2 linked regions of the Tamandua tetradactyla genome follow. The main gene of each other region encodes a partner of the protein of the gene in region 2 in a complex. Links are inferred from orthologs where the notes say so. Each region holds a gene or a part of one and is shown on either strand. Other genes may lie near its edges. The genes, in order: RAB29 and LRRK2.

What was found.
Region 1: the proteins of LRRK2 (region 2) and RAB29 are in contact, whole or in part, in a cryo-EM structure (PDB 8FO2), measured with the Homo sapiens proteins. The link is inferred for Tamandua tetradactyla from reciprocal best matches to the Homo sapiens genes LRRK2 and RAB29. Residues at the interface, in NP_940980.4 of Homo sapiens: Arg361, Lys362, Arg399, Met402, Leu403, Leu406, Met407, His408, Leu437, Ser438, Lys439, Gly440, His442, Leu443, Asn444, Glu447; in NP_001129134.1 of Homo sapiens: Leu7, Val42, Asp43, Phe44, Ala45, Leu46, Arg58, Gln60, Trp62, Leu76, Tyr77.

The regions. Positions count from the first base shown.
Region 1 is NC_135330.1:63,501,877-63,513,322, forward strand, and holds the start of RAB29 (ras-related protein Rab-7L1), read right to left. Parts: upstream 4,697-11,446; 5' UTR 4,441-4,696; intron 4,327-4,440; exon of another isoform or gene 4,322-4,326; 5' UTR 4,199-4,321; coding exon 4,075-4,198; intron 2,139-4,074; coding exon 2,067-2,138; intron 1,433-2,066; coding exon 1,251-1,432; intron 949-1,250; coding exon 827-948; intron 529-826; coding exon 414-528; 3' UTR 1-413. UniProt on the Homo sapiens protein: The small GTPases Rab are key regulators in vesicle trafficking. Essential for maintaining the integrity of the endosome-trans-Golgi network structure.
Region 2 is NC_135333.1:99,677,081-99,688,689, reverse strand, and holds the start of LRRK2 (leucine-rich repeat serine/threonine-protein kinase 2), read right to left. Parts: upstream 4,944-11,609; 5' UTR 4,235-4,943; coding exon 4,081-4,234; intron 3,779-4,080; coding exon 3,693-3,778; intron 1-3,692. UniProt on the Homo sapiens protein: Serine/threonine-protein kinase which phosphorylates a broad range of proteins involved in multiple processes such as neuronal plasticity, innate immunity, autophagy, and vesicle trafficking.

The sequences.
Region 1 (11,446 bases), on a different chromosome or scaffold from region 2:
TTGGGAAATGATATTTGATTTTGTTTTCCTCTCAATCTTAATCATAATATTAATATCTATCAAATGGAAAAATAAATTCAAAAGTAACTGAAAAATATGATTTTTTAAAGTCATAATTTAAATCTACTCCTTCCACCAAAACTCCAGATAACAAATTGAGGGATGAGATAATCCTCCTTATACAGAAGGCACTAACTGGCCACATCAACCAAAGTCAGGTCAGAGCAAACATCCAAGAGATGCAGAAATGCACATGGGTCCCAGGTGTCTCTTCTGAATGTTGATGGGTCTCTTTACCGGATAATCAGGAGACAGTTCAAAAGGACTTAATAAAACTTCGGATGGGCAACCAAAGGCAAGAGATAGAAGGGATTCCTAGAACTGGAATGAAAAACAAGAAGTCAAACTAACTACTAGCAGCAGGTCCAGCTGGAGGAGGACTTGGTTTGCAGGTTGATATAGTTCCCTTGAGTAGACAAAGACATGATGTCTTCTCTGGAATTGCTCATCATCTTTTCAATGAGAACTCTAAAAAGTAAACAAAAAATACATCTGAGAAGCTGGCTGGAGAAAAGGGAGAAATGGCAGACCCTGTCCATCTTATCACAGACAACATTCAGAAAAGTAACAGGTTTAAGCGTCCCTTAGTCACCAGTTATCTCAAGAGGGAAGACAGCATCCCTGACCTTCAGAAGCTGGCACTCCAATGGCTTGATCTGTTCTCGTTTTCTCAGAAACAAACCAACCAACAAAAAGGGTCCATGGGATTGGCATGGAAGGTGCATAAGCCCACATGCCTATGCCCAGAACAGCATGAACTACTCACCTCATGGCCTCGTTAACATTTTTATTCTCCTTGACTGATGTTTCCGTCCAACCTATGAAACCATTTTCTTTACTGAACCGGTCAATCTGGTCCCGGCTCACTGCCCAAGGGGACAGATCACACTAGCAGAGAGAATAAATAAAAGGCAACCCCATAAACTTCCTGGGAATAAGAACATTGCTCAAATACCTGCGACTTTAAAACATTCCACGACCAATGGCTAAGAACACCAGCATCTAAAATCTACAGTGGACATTCTTTCCAAAAATAGTCCCATCCTTAACATCCCTCAAAAAGCGAAAGGGATGATTCTGTCAACTTCAGAAGGGGAAATTGGCATCCAGAACCAGAGAGCATTTTAAATACATTTACTCTCTGACCACAGATGAAGGTCAGGGGCCATTTTCCTAAGCTGACCACATACCTTGTTGGCCAAGAGTAGGCAGGGCACGGGCTCTCCACTGGGCAGTGTGAGCTTGCTGTCCAAGTCCTGTTTCCATCTCTGGCTATTGCTGAAGCTAGTGGCACTGGTAACATCAAACATAATAACACAGGCAGAGGCATCTCGATAGTATAGCCGGGTCATGGAGGTGAAGCGCTCCTGTCCTGTTCAGGGAGAGGAGAGGGCTCCGGAGGAGGTGATCCTGAGAGCCAGTCTCAGTTCCTTCTCTGACACCTGTCTTCTCTACCTTCATTGTGGTATGGGATAGTATGCATCATGGTTAAGAGTCCAGATCCCCACTCTACTACTTACCATCTATGTGACTCTGGGGAAAGTAAGCTCTCAGTGTTCACATTTCTTATCTATAAAGTAGGGATAAAAGTAGTTGCTCCTTTATAGGGTTATTATGAGGATTAAGGAGTCAGTGAATATAAAATACTTAGAAGAGTTCTTAGTATATAAGTGTTAGCTATTATTACTGTCCCTATTTTCTAGGTATCTTGTTTCTCACCAAGGTCAGCTGAAAACTTAGAAAAAGTACCCTTATCCTGCAGTGAAAGCATTTCCTGTGGTCTGGACAATCCACCCACCTTACTAGCCAACCGCTCCAGCCACACACAGAATGCTCTACCTCTGTTCAGGGGCAAAACTTTCAGCTTATGTATCCTGAAAGCAACTCAATCGTTCCAGTTTCAGAAAAAAAAAAAAAGTCAGGCTTTGCTGCTCCACTTTTTCTCTGCAAGCTTGCTGGGTAAACTAAATTTCTTTCCTTGTTCCTATTTAGCTGTTCCAGCTCACCTGCAATATCCCACAGCTGGAGTCGCACCATCTCCGAGTCAGACCACTGGAGAACCTTCAGAGCAAAATCCACTGAAAATATATATGTATTATGCTTTAATAACATTTACTTTTAATAAAGCCATGGAAAAACCCAGGGAATATGCGGTTACAAGCCCAGGGACACACAACTGCAATCTCATTTATTTCTGAGTCCTCAATAGGTCAAGGAGAGCCCACACTCAGGCATTAAGTGGGACAGATAATTCCTATTCACTCTCCAAAGGGGTCTCCAGCTTTTACTCTCCTGTCAAACCAATTTATTTGATACTACTTGTCTCAAAGGCTGGGTACAGGGGTGTGGTAGTAATCATGTAAACAACTCCTAATCTCAGGTTAAACAATTTCTGGGAAATTTAGTTTCTTTTAAATATGGAAGGGTTGATGGGAAGGGAGGGGAAAATGATGTAAGTGTGGACACTGCAGCATCTTCCACATTCAATTTCACTGTTGTTTTCTACTCCAACTCTATTATGAGAAAAACACACCTGGGGGATTCTACATCCTCCATAAGTCTGTAGGAATTATTCCAGACAGGATTCTCAGGGGCAAAAAGCAAAAAACCAGAAAAACCACTGTATGGATACTGCTTACGAGCTGTGCTGAAATCTGTTACCATATCTGTACAATCTTCATTAGAGGTGAAGAGTCCATGAGCTAAGACTGAATAAGCAATCCAGGGGGGAAAGCTTTCTGACAAGGAGAGAAGTAAGATATTTTCTGAGATTTGGACATATATTTTTCCACATCTGTGATAGAAATAAAAGTTACAGGAAATTTAGAATAAGCAATGGGAAAAAAGTGGAGTCAATTATATTCTTTACTAAATGCAAGCTAGAGCAACTGCTAAAAGTTAATTAGTAGGACCTTTTTAACCTAAATTCATGAGATAGGGAAACTCGTATTATTTAGAAGGGGAAGCAAAGAGTGGTTAGGAAATTTTCTTTGAGATTTTAAACTTTTTATTTTACTAGATGTTCTTCCAGGGAAAGAGGGATGTTTTAATTGCAATGTAAATGCTTGGGAAAAAATTTTAATTCCATATGAACATTCAGATTAGTACACTTTTTTTTTCCTCTACAAAAGTTCTTTTAACAGAGATAAATGCTTAAACTATTCTGCCCCTTCAGCATCTCTTTTCAGCTAAACACTTTTAATTAAGGAAAAGGCATCTCTACCTCTGAAAAAAAAAAACAGTTGAGTTCAAAGCCTCACCTAGGAAAGAATGAATTAACTCTTGGTGTCCCCTTCCTTCCTTTCAGGGGAAAGGGGTGGGAAGATAGGTCAGAGAAGTGGCATATTTTGCATTCTTCAAAAAATTCCTAGGTTGTCTCTAAGCAATAAATGTAAGCAATAAATGGACCGCAAACAGGCAGCTCAGGCTGGCAAGCATCTGATTCTGCCGCCCAGGGGCTCTCCATCAGAGATTCTGGGTCTCGGCCCCTGCCTAGGCATTCCATTACAGAGGGTCAGATCAGATTAGTGTCCTAGGTTCTCCCCTCAAGGACAGGTTAAACACCTTTCTGTTCCTTCTTCAACAGGTGGCGGGAATTCCCATGGTAGGTAGGACAACAGTCCCAGCTGGCGCCCAATTAGGCCCAGGGTCTCGGCTGCCTCTGTTGCTTACTATGATTTTTCCGTCATAGCTTCAAAGCCTGCAGGAGAAGACTCGAGTTCACGGCTCGCCCGCAAAACGCAGGAATTGCTCACAGTGGCATCCTCCCTTCCCCATTTCTCAATTTCACACCTTCCCCTTGTCTGTCTCTTTCCGGGCAGCGGGCCCAGGCTGGAAAAACCTAACTGGGAAATCTTAATGAAGCAAGCAAATCAAACATCTAGCAATTACTTCCTGCAGGATCTAGGACACGTATTTCCTGACCCTTCCAGAGGAAGGGCACAAAGACGCCACTCACCACCCACCGCTCCTACCCCGCTCACTCTAGCCCTCTTTCCCTCATCGAGCTCTCACCTCCCACCGTGGACTTGTAGTGTTTGCTGAAAGTGTCCTGGGAATATCGCTGGACCAGCGACGTCTTCCCCACTGCGGCGTCCCCCACCACCAGCACTTTGAACAGGTGGTCTCGGCTGCCCATGACGGGCTAGCGGGGTGTGCGTTTTAGGGAAGCGCGAAGTTGGGGAGTCGTTTGTTTTAACACCTTTCTCTTCGGACCCTCTTCAAACTGAAGTCGGGCATTCTCGCCCATCGCCCGTTGGGACTGCTCTGACGAGAAAGCAAAAAAAAGGAAACTTGGCACTCAACCTATACGCGCTTCCTCCCCGCGCGGCCGCAACTTGGGTGGGGCGCAGGCGCCGGCTCCGAGCCCCGGGTTCGCACCTTCTCCCCTCCGGCCCGGCTGCCAAGAAATGGACGGGGCACCGCGGTGCCTCAGCCACAGGCACTTCCCAGAGCAACAAGCCAGCTCATTCCACGGCTGAGGCCAGAAAACGGGGGCCCTCCTCTCGGTGCATAAACTAAAAGCCGGGAGAAGGAGCACCCCACACGCCGACTCCGAGACCCTGGCCCGCCCGGAACGACGATACTTTCCACCTCCCTCCGCACACGCGTCACGTGCAGGGTCGCTTGCAGCACTACATTTCCCACCTCACCTCGCGGGAAGAGAACTATCTGAGTGCGGACGCTCGTCCGCAAAGCCTCCTGGGAAATGTAGTTTCTGCCCCATTCATGTTTTTAAAAGCCTGCGAAAAGTTTCGTGGCTTACAAACCCCAGAATCACTCATCCCCTCTTGAAACCTTATTTGAAATTAATTCTGGATGAAAAGATCCTTCCACGGCTGTTTGCTCGACGTGATCTCACTTGCCTAAATTCTGCCCGGAGATGGTTCTCATATTTTGAAAGGCTTTAAGGAACATAGCTTAAAATTTATTCTAAAAATTCCATGAATTATTCCACTAATAAAAGTTCACCTTTTATCCCTCATGCTCCGAGTGAAGTCCATTTCTTATTCCTTCAAATAGACAAGCAAGCTCAGGACCGTATTAATATGAAGACTAGATTTCATAGTTTCCATATGACCTAATACCGGGCAGTTTCAGAGAAGACACCCACCCTTAGAAAAATCCAATGCCCAAAGCTGTAGCATTTAATAGCTAGCCACAGCAAAAATACAGACAAAAAACCCCAAGAAACTTCTTCATTTTCACTTCCACAATCACTATTCTAGCTGTAGTACTCATATCACATATATCATTTGAGCTGGAATATATCATTTGAGCTGAAAGCTAATTGGAGCACACTGGGAGTCCTGCTCCATTTTTTACTAATGTGCTCATGAATCGCTATTAAACTACAGTTTTGCAAATAGTTTTCATTTTCAAGCTGTACGTTTTCTGACTTGCCTATCCTTTAGGCAGGAGGTAAGAGGACATGAGCTTCATGGTAAGCAAAATGAGCTGCATTTTCTATGCTTTTTCCAGGAATAGAAGTGGAAGCAGCAGGACAATGGGAAAACGGCCCAGGGGCCTTACATCACGAAATCCTGCTTAGGTCTCTTGGTAGAGTGGCCACCACTTACCTTCTGCAAGGAAAGAACATCAGCCTGGTTCACCCCTTATTTAACCCAAAATGTTTGTTCCTTCAGATACATAAGGTCAGGCTAGGTTACTTTATCTTTAAAGATGTCTCAGGCCTCTTTCCAATGGCCTTTGCTCTCTTTTTTATTTGCTGTGACCACTCATTCCTTAAAATCGATTTTTCGCTTGGCTTCTGTGACACTGTTGTTTCGTAGTCATCCTTCCTCCTCCCTGATGTTCACCTTTCACTTTCATGTTTTTTCTCACCCTCCCATCTTTCCTTAGGTGAAAGCTTGATTCTTGGTCCTTGAACCTGTTCTAAAAACTTTTTACTTTAGTGAAATGCCCTTGTCTTGACTTTGTTTATGTCTTTATCTCTAATTAATTATGCCCAACTGCCAAGAAGGCCTCTCCGCTTGGAGGACCTGCCATAGCCTCCCTCTCACTACATCTTGAGCACAAAAACTGCTCCTTTTATCAACTTCCCTATTTTGGTTACAGACCTCATCATTTCTTCCCTTCACTCAGGCTTCAAACCTCAAGCGTATTAACATTTCCTTTTACACATGTCCCTTTACACATGTTCCCTTTTAAAATCAACCAACATATCCTACCTGTTCTTCCTTCAAAACTGTTTCTCCCATTCATCCTCTCTACTCCATACCCAGTGCCGCTTTAGTGCCGCTTTGGATTACTTCAGTATTCTGTTCATTGGTCTCCCTGACTCAAGTTTTTCTTCAGTTCATTCTATACCACTTGCCAGGATGATTTTCCTGAAACAGCATTGTTTGTTCCTTCAAGGTCTACCATCTGTCTTCAAAAAACTGGCCAACCTTTCTGAGCCACCTCCTATGCAGTGGCCTCCTATATCTAACTAACTTCATCTCAACTGATTTCAAATGGGCATTTCCTCCCGCCAACAAGGTGAGGTCCCTATATATATATTTTAAACAATGATAATATTTTATTCAAAATGCCAAAAATAAAATGTACAATATAAATTTTTAAAAATGAGCTTGATGCCTGGAGGGAGGACAGAGAGAGAGCCAGGAGTGGGGAGTCATACTGTGGTGGGAGACGGTGGCATTCAAGTTAGTATGTGGTGTTTCCTGTGTAGGGCAAGATGGTCAGATCAAGAGAAGCTACGGCGACAGTCTGGACACTGCAAAGGTTTGATTCCAGTATGTTTTTGGAAATGTCTTGTCAGTTCATCAGACCGTGCAACCTTCCATGTACATCCTTCCTATGTACATTTGTAGGTTTTTTTTTCCTGTATATAATCTTCTGTGTACTTTCAATTTAGACCTTTTAATGTAGGCTTTGTTGCATACATCATAATCACATCTGTATGTCCTCCATTTCCTTTGGGTATCTGTAGATTCCACAGGTAAAGTTCTCCTCCCAGGCTGTATAATGACTGAAGGATGATTCTCTTGCAACAATGCTTGGGGGGTGGGGGACTGAGTTCATTAAAGGGGGTGACATATTTTCAGGATAATAATCTTTCCTCTATGGTTCAATCCCAGGTTCTATTTTTATTTTTATTTTTCTGTAATGTAGGCTTCTCGTACAATTCAATTATAGGTACTAACATGCTACTATTTAAATTCTCCATCTCCTCCGACAAGCAGACCATGAGCAGCTGCTGTAGGTGAGTGGCGTATGTAAATACATGGGTTGCACCATGACAGGCTGTATGACCGGCAGTGTTACTGGGCTTCATATTTCATACCAGGAGAGGGCAGCAGCCAGCACCATGGCATGGACAGCGGCACGCCAAAGGGCTTGCACTCCAGGTGGAGGCGGTGAGTACTGCTTCATCACTGGACTAGACGAGGGCACGCTCAGCCCAGATGAGGCTCCCCTGTATGATGACGGGAATTTCAGTGGGAGAAGGGAGCTCCCAGCCACATGTGGTGAGCTCTGCTTATTCACCGTGAGGTCCAATGGCTCCAACTGTATTCTGTGCAAAAGGCCTTCTGATATCTGGAAGAACTCATCTGGTAACAGTGTGAAGAAAATGACTCCATACTTGTTGGGCTTTATCGGCTCAATGTGATTAGATGGTATATTAGTCAGGTGTCTCTAGGGAAACAGAACCAAGAGGAGATAACGGTAAATATGAGATTTTATAAAAGTGTCTCATGCAACTGTGGGGATGCACGAGTCCAAATTCCATAGGGTAGGCCAAGAATTGGCAACAATGGTCAATGAATTCCCAGGAGAGGCTGGCCAGCTGAAGTAGAGATAAAACTTCTGTCTTCTGACTGCTGAAATTGACAGCTTTCCCTTAAAGGTCTCAACTGATTGGATTACATCCAGTTGATTGGATTTTCTCATTGCAGAAGACAGTCCCCTTTGTTAACTGTAGATTAAATCAGCCATAGATGCAATCAACTAACCGATGATTTAAGTCCACGAAACGTCCTTGTAGTAAGGATTAGGCCAGTGCTTGCTTGACCAGACAACTGGGCACCATTATCTGGTGAAATTGAGAAATGAACCTGACCATGACACTGTGTGCTTGTGAAAACCTTGTGTCTGATGGTCCCTTTATCTAGAATATGGGAAGATGAGTAAAAAATATGGATAAAAAAGTAAACAAATAATAGGGGGAACAAAAGTTAAAATATACTGGGTAAATGGAAATACTAGTGCTCAATGAGAGGGAGGGGTAGGGGGGTATGGTATGGGTATGTTTTTTTTCTTTTTTCTTTTTATTTCTTTTTCTGAGTGATGCAAATGTTCTAAAAATGATCATGGTGATGAATGTACAACTATGTGATGATATTGTGAGCCATTGATTGTACACCATGTATGGAATGTTTGTATGTTAAGAATGTTTATGTTTGTATGTTGTTTTGTCAATAAACAATTTTTAAAGAACAAAAACAAAAATAAATGCTTAACTGGAAAAATAAAAGAGGTCACAGACCTCTTTTTTTTTCTTAGCATTTGCAATCAGCTAAGGGGAGTGTCTTCTGCAATGAGTGATGCTTAATCTAATCACCAGAAGGCTTTTAACGTGTTTTTTTTCCCTTAGCATTTGCAATTAGCTAAGGGGAGTGTCTTCTGCAATGAGTGACGCTTAAGCTAATCAGAATGCTTTTAAGGAGGACTCAGAAGAGATGATCACTCTTCCTGCTTCAGCCAGCTAGCCTCTCCTGAGAGTTCATTGAGGACCTTCATTGGAGCTGCCAGCTTGTGGCCTACCCTACAGACCTTGGACTCTGCATCCCCACAGTTTCATGAGACACTTTTATAGATTTTATATTTGCAGAGGTTCCTGCTGGTTCTGTTTCTTTAGAGAACCCTAGCTAATACACACAGTCACATTATAAATGTTATATCTTCATACAGTCACCTTCAAGAAACAAGGCTATTGGAGCACAGCTCTATAGTTTCAGGTAATTCCCCCTAGCCACTCAAATACACCATAAACTGAAAATACACCATAAACTTATGCATTATCTATACAATGCGTAAGAATAACCTCCAGGATAACCTCTCGACTCTGTTTGAAATCTCTTAGCCACTAACACTTTATTTTGTCTCATTTCTCTCTTCCCCCTTTTGGTCAAGAAGGTTTTCTCAATCCCTTGATGCCAGGTCCCAGCTCATCCTGGAATTTCTGTCCCGTTGCCAGGGAGATTCACACCCTGGGAGTCATGTCCCATGTAGGAGGGGATGGCAGCAGGTTCCCCTGAGTCTGTGGCCTCTTGCTTAACAGAGAGTATGCCATACATGACCATTCATGTTAAACCTTCTTGGGTGCTCTGGTGTTTGGCTTTGAGAACCATGGTGCTGAACGTAGTAGACAAGAAATAAAGGTCTGGCTCCAGGTTTCCTTGAACCCTGCAAATGCAGTAATATCAGCACATGCCAGTCTCAGCAGCTGTGGTGACCACAGGGGACCAGGATGAGCACCTGAGCAACAAGGGCAGTACAGCTCAGCTCCACAGGTGCCTATGCTGTGTTCCGGCTCGGGCCCCGGCAATGCGTGCCTCACTTTCCGGCTCCCCTCGGCTCCTGGCCCAAACTCCAGGAGTCACAGGATGCAGATGCCACTCTGCCATTTGCTTTTTGAGGTTCCTATACCTTGAAAAGTCCATCTCACTTTTGCTTTTTTGTTCTTTGTCCAGAGTGCCTATCTGAATGCCTTTTAAGCTTCTTTGCACCCATCTGATCTTACCACATGTCTAATTCAATCTCGTGGTGCAGACCTATTGTGGGGTGAGAACTTTTGATTAAGTTGTTTCCATGGAGATGTGACACTGCCCATTTAAAGTTGGTCTTAATCCACTTGCTGAGGTCCTTTATGATAACTGAGAGTTTAGAGAAGCTAAGAGAGAAAGAAAATGCCCTGGGGAGAAGGAAGAAGGCCCCCTGGGAGCTGAGAGAGCCATTTGAAACCAGAAGGCAGGATAGGACAGCAGATGTAACCATGTGCCTTTCGGTGTGACAGAAGAGCCCCAATGCCAGCTGTCTTTCCTCCAAGAAGGTATGCTCTTGTTGGTGTCTTAATTTGGACCTTTTCACAGCCTTAGAATTGTAACTTGTAACTTAATAAATTCCCTTTGTAAAAGCTAATCCATTTCTGGTATATTATATTCTACCAGTTTAGGCAAACTGAAACACCATACTTTAAGTTCTCAAACTTTAAGTGCTTAAGACTCACCTGGGGCATTGGCTATATATGGACATTCTGATTTTACAGGGCTGTGGTAAGGTCCCAGGGGGATCCACATTTTTGGCAAGTACCTAGGTGAATTTTATGCCAGATTTCACTTTGAGAAATGCTGCTTTAAGGCCTGACTTAAGTATCACTTTATGGATGACCATTTCCCTTATTGATCACCTGTAGTATTTACAATCTTTTTGACTTTTGGTTATTTAACCATGTTACCAGCTTACAATTATCTCACATAAGCTATCAATATATTTAGAAGGAAATAGGGATTCATTTTGTGGTTGTTGTTTGTTTCTTTAATTTTTTTATTTTTCTGTTATTTTTTGAAAGCAGGTATTCAAATACAAAATTTTGGATTTAGCCCTGGTCATGTGGGGGAAGAAACCACCCTTAGTTTCCCAAATCAGAAAATGTGGGGAGTGAAGATGTAAGAGGGAAGATTAGCAAATTACTAGTGCGCCCCCAAGTCATAGAATTTCTATAAAAGGAATGGCCATTCATTTGGTAAAGGTGGGGGCATAGTTCTTCAATAATAACATGCAATTCTGATGGTACTTTCCCAGAGAGACAGTTATTAATAAGGGAGAGAAAACACATTCAGAGTGCCAAACAACTGATTTGCATATACATGTTAGAAACACAATGTGTTGGAAACTGGAGAAACTGATCAGCCTTGCTCTGTTACTATCACATCTCCTATCGGTATTTGCTTCTCCCTTTTTTACCCTTTACTTATCAACTTTTTAAATTTTGATTTTTTAGCCTTTTTATCATTTAATATAACATATATACAAAGTAAAGAAAGAGAAAAGCAATAGTTTTCAAAGTACTCTTCAACAAGTTGTTACAGGAGAGATCCCAGAGTTTGTCATGGGCTCAATTTTTTCCTTCTAGCTGCTCCAGAACATTAGAGGCTAAAAGGAATAAATATTTTTTTATCATCACAATTGGCTTTTTTTTCCTTTTTTGTGAAAAATAACATATATACAAAAAAAACAATAAATTTCAACGTATAGCACAACAATTAGTTGTAGAACAGACTTCAGAGTTTGGTATGGGTTAAAATTCAACAATTTTAACTTTTTGCTTCTAGCTGCTCTAAGATATTGGAGACTAAAA
Region 2 (11,609 bases):
GTTACAGGATAAAGAGAAAGGAACTGTTATTTAGAGAGGAAGTATAATTCTTCAATTTTCCCCCCACCTAGATTTCTCCAGAATGCCTAAATATGAGTGGATGAAGTCTAGAGCAGATTACAGAACTCCCATGAACTTTTCCCATTCCCAGACGAAACATTATCTTATTAATACCTTTTAGGTATATTCATTCAGTCCATTTACACTTGAAACCAACTTAAATAAATTGCTTTTTACCTGTGAAAAAAAGATGAGGTCCTGTTTTGAAACTGGAGTTAAAATTAAACCCAATCTTCCTACTATCTATTCTTCTCTAAATTAAAAGAATCTTCAATCCATTCTATTGCATTATAGAACTATACTTGGTATGGTCAGGAACAAACCAAGAAAACAGAAAATGCATACATATTTAGCATCTAAAGATTAATGAAGTATCTAAATATGAGATTACATGACAAATACTATAATATAAATTCTGAAAGTGAGAGTCACAGTGAAGTACAATAATGTAGAGAAGAATATTATATGGAAGAGATAGGACTTTTCATATAAATTTCAAAAGAATTATAAATATGGTTGTACAAAATAGGCAAATAGAATCTTCTAAAGCTCATGAGCTATGAAGGGAGAAAGGTGTTAAAGGGTAAGGGGTACGAAATATTGCCAGATAAGACCGACTACTAGTGGAGTTGAAAGATGAAGAGAGTTGAATGGCATGGTAAGGAATTTATGTATATTCAGTAAGGAACAGAGGTACCTAGAGCCCTTGTTTACAGGAATAAACAAGGGGTATTTCACAAAGATAAAAAAAACAAAAGATATACAAGATCTCTTCACAATATTATTTCCGGATCTTTTCCATATTAAGCATGAATTGCTTTACTCTGTCACTGCTTCCTTTTATATAATTTTAAATTGCTTGAAAAGGCAATTTTTGAGTTATTTTTACCTTATATTTAAGTAGGACATCCTCCTCCACTTAAGCTGACAATTCAGCTGTCATAGAAACCAGCTATTTCTGTGGTTTCATAAAATGTATTGAAACGTTCCCACATATTTAAGAAAAATAACATTCTGAACAACTTCCGGGTCTGAAAACTTTGGGGGGACAGGAGAATGGGTCACATGGATGCTGAACTCATCTCTGTACCTGCATGACTGACTCAAAGAAAACACCTGTTTTTTTGGTCGGTAAAGCAATAGCATCAGTTATTGCTTTTTTGAGTTTTCAGTCACTATGTGAAACTCTTATGAGTAAACAGAGTCTCTGGCAGCAAATCAGAGTAACAATGGATTCATTAATCTGTTCAATTAAGAGCTTATCTTTCAAGGAGAGGCTTCCATGCTGCATAATTAAAGTACAATTAAATTGGTAGTTTCATTTTATTATAATTATTCTTTAAACTCAAGCCCTTAATTTGTGCTCAATGGGAAATATTCTAGTGGTTAAATATAATTTTAGTCACTTTCATTTATTTTGCTTCTTTTTCAAAGCCTGAAACTATGTGGATAAAGAGAAGTAATGAAAATTGAGGAGTGCAGGGAATAAATTAAAATGATCAGATGATTGGCAGGAAAAGATAATTTCAAGGCAGCTAGCCTAACTACTAATCCTCTAAATATAGACATTTATTGAAGATTATTTATAAATAATGAAAAGACCTCAAGAACAAAATTCAGAGTCTAGAATATCATGTTACATAACTTCCAGAAACAAACCTTAATATTTATTATTGAAGAGTAATCAAGAGTCCATTTACTATAACTTAAGTTCATCAATTAAGAACTTCTAATTTAGGAGGTCCAGCTAATTCAACATATAAAACATTAGATGATACCTGTACTAATTAAACCTATCAATAGAAGAAATTTGAAAGACAAAAAACTATTTTCTTTTAAATGAAGTATTAAACCGTGGGCATGAAAACTCTGCAAATTCAACAGCAGTGGACTGTATAATGGAAAGAGATTTCTGAAGATGTGAGAAGACTCACATTTATGCCCTGGTTCTGTCACTAGCTCTGTGGTCCTAAATAAGTTACTTACTCTCACAGAATTACCATGAGGGGAAATTATCCAGTGAGATTTCTGAGGTGACAGTGAGACTCCAGTGAGAATCAAATGATGTAACATACATAATGTTTGCAGACATATGCATATATGGTGCTGTAATTAATAATTCTATGCCATTGCATTATCAACTCAGAAGGCAATGCCTTATTTCCCAACATACTTTGCCTCTGGTTCCCACTAGACAAGAACAGTGGGTAACATTCATAACTACTCCAGAGAAGTGAGGACCAGGTTTAAGTTTTCTGACGTGAATAAGAACCAGGTGACTGGTATGTTTTGAGTTCCCTTGAGTTCTAGCATGGCCTCCTCAGGACCCTGAAGACCAAATCTCACCCAGGGTCCAACTTTCCCAAGTTGACTGAGCAGGGTGAGGGGCGGGGAGAACTAAAACAAGCACAAATCCAGAAAACGGAGAGTGCTAGAAGTCACTTGTGAACACCAAAGCAGAGGCAAGTTAGAAGAGAAAATGTGGGTGAAAAGCAGCAACACAAATATTCCATGGGCAAAATTCAGACTTCAAGTACTGAAAAAGAACAAGCAGCTTTATCATGCCTCTATCTTTGCTTGGTTTTGTTTCATAGCAGCCTGAAAATTAATAGTCAGATGGAAAAAAATTTACAGTTTAAGGAAAATAAAAGTAACGATTCATCCTAGATATAAATGTTCTTATATAAAGGAAGTTAGATATATTGGGTCACCCTGATTTTATAGAGATGGATACAAAAATAGGCATAGAGGTAAAGATACAGATTTAGCAATAGAGATAATTCTTACATATGTCTAGCCTCTCAAATAAGCATTAAGAAACAGTGGTTTTCTAACTGCCCCTTGGAGTCCAAAGTTCTGTTTTCTTTCTCTTCAGGATTTAACATGTGAACAACAAAACTGATTTCAGTTCCCAAATCTCAAAATGCACTCAAAAAAGTTATCACGTTATGCGGTAATTCTGTTTTGACTGCAAATTATCCTTAATTGTCATCTTAGAGCTCCCTATTTAATATATCCAAGTTATTTAGCAAATCTCTAGGTTTCCTATTACAAGAATTCTAAAAGTTTCAGGTTAACTCATTTTACATGAAAACTGCTACAGTACAAAGTATAAATTTAAACACATAAGGGAATCAAAGCACTGTCTTTAGATATGATAAGGTAAACTACTAACAAAACCACAAATCTAACAGTCTTCAAATAAAAAAAAAATCTCTTGACACCTAAGAGAGTTCCTCAGTTGCATTTTATTGCTGTCAATTATACCCCTTTTCCAAACTATTAACAGGGATGTCATATCTAGGACAAGACTGTGCTCTGGGAAGATTCTTAGACTAATCTGATGTGAACACTAATGAGCTCATCTAGGCGATAACAAAACTAGATCTCAACCCATTATTACTCCTGTCAATTCCCGTACATATTCTGTCGGTTGGTATTATAAAGTTACTTCTTAAAGTAGACCCACAGTTAGCATTTGATAATAATTGGGCAATGCTGCCATCTTCAAATCACGGTCAGCGGTTGACCAAGGCAAATCTCAGAAATAACAAGAACTCCGAGTATGTAATGACAGAAAATCATCTCTTTCCAAGCAGAAGGGGAACTGGACACAAAGAAAACTCTTTTACCTGCTGCACACTCGCGACTCTCATGTATGAGTCCAAGACAATCAAGAGAGGCACATGGACATTTTTGCCTTGAAATAATTTGGAGGCTGGAAAAGAAGCGGGTGGGGGGAAAGAAGCAAAATTATGATTCACGAAGCCCTTTTAAAATCTGAAGGGGGTGGGGGACAGCAAAAGAGGCCCCAAGACTTTCCTGAAATTTCCAATTCCCTTCTCTGTCTCAGGGAAAGGAACAGGGAATTGGCCACTTCTTAAAAGTCGTGGCCTGAGTAGAGATCCAAAGAGCAGGGAATAAAGTTTGCAAATGTGTGCGTGTGTGTATGTGTGCGTGTGTGACGGGGGTGGGGGTGGGGGTGGGGGGGTGAGGAACAGGTCCCTTGCAAATGATTACCGTGGTCGGCGAAGGTGAACACCAGCATATCCTCCAGGATTTGGACGAGCGTCTCTATCTGTTTTCCTTCCTGGACATTTTTCAGCCTAACTATCAACTTCTTCAGAGTTTCCTCGTCCTCCTCCTCGGACCCCTGACAGCTGCCACTGGCCATGGTGGACCCCGCTCCACACCCGCCGCCCCTCCGTGCACGAATGCCGGGCTGCTCAGGGAGCGGTTCCGGGCGCAGGCCACTGCTCCCCGGGGCGAGCACAACTCACCGCCCGCAGCCGGCACTACCCGCCGGCCCCATCTGCCCACGCCCGCTTGTTGATGAGGAAAGCGACGTCTCTCCGCCTTGCACTCCCCTTCCTCTCCCCGAGCCCTCCTCCCCTGCTTCCTCCAAACCCCCGCTCCAAAAAAAAAAAAAAACGAGCTGTGGCCTGCCGGAGGCTCGGCTGAGGCGACGCGACGCGCCGCGCAAAATCGCTGCCTGGTGGTCCAGGCTGGGCTCGACCCGCGTGAGCCGGGCCGGGCCGGGCCGACGGGAACCGTGACCCGCGCGTGCTCCGCTACGGTACCCGCGACGGGCGCCGTTTCGTCTGTCCGGATTCCTCAGCCGCGGCGCCACTACCGCAGTCGCGCAGGAACAAACTGACTCAGCGAACTTCGCCGAGTACCCGCGGCCGGGTGCGGAGGAGGCGCGCAGGCTGCTGCTGGAGCCCGCCACCCTCCCGGACCCGCCAACCTGGACTCCTTTAGCCCCAAGAAGGTTTGGAAACCAGGAAAAGCAAAAGTGAAAGCCGCCTAACTCCAAATCTAAGAATAGAAATCAGGGCGTAGGAGAAAAAGGACGCCGCCCAGTTGGCCCTTTAAGGGAAGCATTCTCTTTAGGGTTCCCCCTAGAGGGAGATGAGTCATTCCCACCCCCACCCCCCCAGATGGAGCGACGTTTTAGCAATCAAAATTTGCCCGGCTAAATTGTTTTATGTGACTCTTAAATTCTACCTGTTTGTAGGGGAGGAAATAAAATGTGTCTTCCTTGTTAGTTATCTGAAGTTCTGGTGGCCAAAACGGCTCTGAAATTAATTAACTTTTGAGTTTGCCTAGGTCGGATCCTGATAATTGGGGCACACCAACAAGTAATCAACCAGTGCTTTTATGAGTAAAGAGAAAGACAAGGTAAATGAAATGACCTGTAGAAAAGATGAAAGAACAAAAACTAAATTTTGCAGCTCTGCTGTTCAGACTTAAGAATATGGGCATTAACAACTCTAAAGTTAAAAAAAAAATGTACCAAAGTCATATGTTGTTCACAAAAGGAAATCTACTTAAAAAGCTCTGTAGACGGCTGGACACAGGTGTTCTATCCTCAGCGTCATTCATAAAGGAAAAGACTGGACTGGAAGTTAGTACTTCACAATTTTAGATTCCTTTCATGTCCCCTAACTTGTTTATGCTGATGACAACTGTGAAATGGATAAGACAGCTATTACTTATCATTCTTTATTAATGAGAAAATTGATATTCGGAGATGTTCGGTGAGGAGATTTGCCCCATTCACACAATTTGCAAGTTGAGATTTGGGATTTAAACTCATGTCAATCTCTTAACACCAAATTCAGGGTTCTTCACAATCTGTTACTTTAATCAAAATGAGATAGCATTCCGTAATCATTATGTGAGTAAAGTAGCAAATTGGCAGTATTAATGATTATGATAGTATGAGTATGTTTCATAAATGTTTTATTATTGTTATAAAGAGATTTCTATCTTTTACAGATTCATGATAAAATATTTACAACTGAAATGATATAATGGTTAATATTTACTTCGAAGTAATATAATAGTGGGAGAAGAGATAAAGTGCATGGAGGTATAAATGAAACAATATTAACTTTGAATTAAAAATTGTTGCAGATGGGTTCTTGGGAGTTCTCATACTATTCTCTCTACCTTTTATAATAAAGACAATTTCCATAATGAAAACTTAAAAAAAAATCTCTGCTTTGTAATCTTTATCGTATCTGCAATATATCTCTTATTAACTGGCTTCTGAACTTCTTTGACTTCTGACTACATAATGGATATCAAACTTTCCTATCAATTCTCCCTTCATACCTTCCTTACACCTTCTTCTGCATCAGTTTTCCCTTCTCAGTCTACTGGATTATTATCATACAAGAAATGAAAGTACAGCTCCTTTCTAAGAGAAGGTAAATTTAAATAGAAAAGGAACTTCCTCTTTTCCTCAATTGATATTCATCCATCCGTTATCTATTTATTTTCTACTCTATATTAACCAGAATAAGAGTAGGTGATTTTCTAGCAATGCCTAGAGTGTATGCTAATAGTGAAATGTACAAGGTACAATTTTAAAAATGTTTTTGCATGAGGAAGAACAAAGGAATGTCATTATTGCAGGGTATTGAAAATAAATGGTAATTAATATTTTAAAATGTCACCTTCTGTGTGAGACTAAAGCAAAAAATGTTTGTTACAAAATTTATATTTTGACTAGTGCATCTCCTAATATAACTTATGTAGATAGTTTGATTGAATGCCATAAGTACTTGGAATCTCAGGTAGGACATGAGATTTTGCTGGTTTGTCCAGAGTGATGCCCCGATGAATCCCAGAATGATTCAATCAGTGAGTGGAAAAGTATCTGCAAAGCCCCCTTCGGGGAGTGGTGAGAATGGGGAGAAATTCAACTTCCCCAAGTTGAATTCTTGATATTCTCACAAGCAGTGTGGACAACCAAAACTATAGGCAGAGCCCCCAGTCTTGGGGTTTGTTCATATGAAACTTAACCCCACAAAGGATAGGTCAAGTCTACTTAAAATTTAGGCCTAAGAGTCACCCCCAAGAGAGCCTCTTTTTTTGCTCAGATGTGGCCCCTCTCTCCAGCCAACGCAATGAGCAGTCTCACCACCCTACCCCTCTCTACGTGGGACATAACTCCCAGGGGTGTGGACCTTCCTGGCAACTTGGGACAGAGATCTTGGAATGAACGGAGACTCAGCATCAAGGGATTGAGAAAAACCCTAGAATGAGCTGAGACTTAGCATCAAGGGATTGAGAAAACCTTCTCAACCAAAAGGGGGAAGAGGGAAATGAGACAAAGTGTCAATGGCTGAGAGATTCCAAACAGAGTCGAGAGGTTATCCTGGAGGTTACTCTTATGCATCAAGTAGATGTCATCTTGTTATTCAAGATATTATGGAGAGGCTGGAGGGAACTGCCTGAAAATGTAGAGCTGTGTTCCAGTAGCCATGTTTCTTGAGGATGATTGAATAATGATACAGCTGTCACAATGTGACTGTGTTATTGTGAAAACCTTGTGTCTGATGCTCCTTTTATCTACCTTGTCAACAAAGGAGTAGAACATATGGAATAAAAATAAATAATAGGGGGAACAAATGCTAAAATAAATTTAGTTTAAATGCTAGTGATCAATGAAAGCGAGGGGTAAGGGGTATGGTATGTATAACTTTTTTTTCTCTGTTATCATTTTATTTCTTTTTCTGTTATCTTTTTATTTCTTTTTCTAAATCGATGCAACTGTTCTAAGAAATGATGAATATGCAACTAAGTGATGATATTGTGAATTACTGATTATGTATGTTTTATGAGGATTAACCGAATAGGCAAACAGCCAGCCGTTTCAGGACAAGCCTGTATTGAAAATGCAGCTATTCAGAAATGATTTATGGAAAGTCTTATTGTCTGACAGTTAGGACTCCTGTGTGTTGCATGTGAAGCCAACAAATTTTTTGCAAGATCTGTGTGAACAGAACCACTGCCAGTGTGGGCTAAAGGGAGATAGAAAAGGAAGAGATTGAAGGAAAAATTACTTCAAAGGCAGAACCATGGGAACTGATATCTGGTACAAAGAAATCTTGGACCAGGATAGTGGACCCACCCATGCATGTGGAATGGGTGAGTCCCAGAGTTTGCAGAGAATGGGCCTCCCACCCATTGTACAAGAAGAGTATTACCTCATGGCTCTCAGATGCCTGGGAAGTTGAGGGGAGCTTGGCTGCCCTATTGTTCAGGAAGAATGTTGCCTCCTCAGCCCTCTGAGAAGGTGGAGCACATTCTCCAGGGACTGGGGAGACCCTGGCCACAACCCCACTGTTCAGAGAAGGGTGAGCCTGTGCCTAGAGATGACAGAGAGTCTAGCTGCCACTCAGATGCTTGAAGAGGGTGGAATGGAAAATATATCTGTCTCCCCAATGTTTGGAGATATTGGATCCCTCAGCCTAGTGTTTGGAGAAAGCAGGGCTGCTGTGCACTGTGCAAGACCATGGAAAGGGTAGGACTGTTGCTCTCTCAAGCCTCAAGACAAAATGTCATTCTATAGCTGACTCTCAGATCTTAAAATCTAATGAAGTATGCCCTTCAGTTTTTCAGAACTGTTTCAGAACTTTGATGCCTATTTTCCTTCCAATCTCTCTCCATGGAAATGGGAACATCTATCCTATGACTGTTTCTCCTCTGTATATTGGAAGCAGATAACTTGTTCTAAGTTCCACAGCCAGAGGAGAATTTTGCCTTAGGATATGCCACACCTGTAACTGATTTTGATGAGACTTTATACTTAATATTGTTACTGAAATAATTTAAGGTTTTTGTGATATTGTAATGGGATGAATGTATTTTGCATATGGAAAGAACATGTCCTTTTAGGGTCCAGAGGCAGAGTATGCTGGTTTGAAACTGTCATGTACCCTGAAAAGGCCATGTTCTTTTAATCCATTCCTGTGGCAGCAGAACTATTGTAAATGAAATCTTTTGATATGTTATTTCAATTGAGGCATGACCCACCCAATTTTTTTTTTTGCTTCAAAGTATGTTTCATTGAAACTGTGCTTACAATATGCAAACTGTTTCAAAAGTCCAAGCCAGAAATATTTATTATCTTTGCATCCAATAATTATAACAATCTACATAGGAATCAATAACTTCAGTTGTTAGGTAACTTGTTAGAATAAATATTAATGTCAGATGTCAATCCACTTTTAAAAATCCATTTATTTGAAATAAATGAGCTTTGCTCACAGAGCTTCTCTGCTCCATTTTTCCTAAAGGCCACCATGACTGCTGCCTTTACATGTTGTTCCTACTTTTTTTCCATGATAGTTATTTTAGAGGGATGACAATTTTTCTCCCCCCACCCCCAGTTAAAATCCCCACCTCATATCATACAAACTTAGATGACCAAATTTCAGTGTAAAGTGATTATATGAAGATTTCAATTCCTAAGTAGTAGTGACAGCTCAGTCTGAAAAAGTAGATGTGAGAGTAAAATGTGTCCAAAGGTGAAGAAAGGTACTTTTGGTTTGACCCACTCAACTTAAGGTGGGTCTTAATCCTTTACTAGAGTCCTTTATGAGAGGATAAGAGACATTTGGAGAGAGAGAAGCACCCAGAGAAGCAAGAAGAACCCACAGGACCTGTAAGAAAAAGCCACTGGGACCAGAAGCTGGAAGCAACATAAGCTGGGAACAAAGAACCAGCAGATACCAGCATGTTCTTTCTCATAAGACAGAGGAATCCCAGATGCCAACAGCCTTTCTTTAGAGAAGGTGTCATCCTATTGCTGCCTTAATTTGGACATTTCACAGACTTAGAACTGTAAATTTGTAAATTAATAAATCCTCATTGTAAAAACCAACCCATTTCTGGTATATTGCATTCTGGCAGCTTTAGCAAACTGAAAAATATGGGGCCATTAATTTTCTGTTGAGAGCTTCCTTCTATAAACTCCTACCATAGTAGGAAAAAATGTCCTCTTAGCTTTCAAAAATTCTTAATTGATCGAATAAAATCCCAAAACTTAACAACTCTTCAAGAAATTACCAAAACTGAAAATAAAAAATTGCTGCAGGCACAAATTCATGATAAAGGTGGCATTCAGTGCTAGAATATTTGTTTAACTTCTTGGGAAGAAACAATAAAACTGACACTGCTAATTTATAGAAAATATCAAAACATATTAAAGATGGATTAAAAGTTAAATGAAAATAGCTTTGGGAAGAAAATATAGAGTAATAGTTATTTAATCTTGGTATGAGGAGACATAAAGAAAGAAACACAGGAGATTGAAATATGTGTCTCCATAAAAAATTGAATTTTCTACAGTCAAAGTAAAACCACAAATGAAATTAAAAAACAATTGGCAAGCTGAAAAAAAAAAAGTTGCAAGCATAAGTGTTTTATAAAACATTGAAGAAAGAAAGACATTCCACAGTTGCTTCTACTTGCCTATATCTTATCAATTCACCAGAGTAGGACAAAGCACCCCTGTGGGGAGGAAGTGTACATAGACCCAGAGGCTCAGAGTTTGTTCAGCAGACAATGTCTTCCTGTGAGTTAGAAAAATGGGCCCCTCCCTCCAGGCGGACTCAGCCCCATGCCAGGGTGAACCAAACAGGATTTGGATTTCAGACTCCACCTATTCTCTCAGACTGTGCAAATGTGTAGGGCACAGCTTGTACAGTATATGAAGTATGCATTGTCATCTTACGAAGCTATAGAAATCAATTGGCATGTTATTGGCACAGTTACCAAAGCGACCAGTGAAAAAGTATAGAGGACCCAGAAACACACCCTTACGTATACAGAAATGGCATCTGAGAGACATATTGCATATCAGTGGAAAGAGAAGGTATTATTTGATAAATGTTTCTGGGACAATTAGTTATGGAAAAACATAAAATCATGCATTGCACCCAAAAAATCCCATAAGCAATACCCCAAAATAAAGTAGATTAAAGATTTTTTTATATGAAAAATGAAACTTCAAAAGTTTGGGGAAAAAATGTAGGAAACTATGTTTATGATCTTAAGGTAGGGAAATATGAGCCATAAAAAACACAACCCCTAAAGGAAAAAAACTGTTAAATTCAGCTACGTTAAAATTTAAAACCTGGTACATAAAAAAATCCCATCAGCAAAGTTAAAGGATAATCAGCTGTAAGAAGATTTTTGCAATGTATGAAACCAAGAAGAGATTAATAATAAGAATATACAAAAAGAACTATCACAAATCATAAAGGAAAAGATAAATAGCTTTGTTGTAAAATAAGCATGGATATAAAAGGCAATTTGCAGAAGAAAGAAATGGCCAATAAACCTAAGGAAAGATCTCTCAACCCTACAAGTAATCAAGGAAATGCAAATTAAACCAAAATGAGATGTCATTTCACATCTCTCAGTTTAACCAAAATTTTAAAGTTTGATACCAATTATTGGCATGTGATGTGTAGCAACTAGAGTACTTCTACAATCCTGGTGGGCATATAAGTCATAATAGTCACTTTGGAGAGTAATACGGCAAAAGCTAGGAATGCTGAAGGTGTATGCTTGCTATGGCCCAGCACCTTCGCTACAATGATACTCCCTGGAGAAACTCTCACACGTGCATAAGGAGACTTGTATAAAATGTTCAGTGCAGCATTTTTGCTTTTAGAGAAAATGAAAACTACTTAAATATCTATTAACACATTGCATATGTTTACACAATGGACTTGCATAAATGAGTG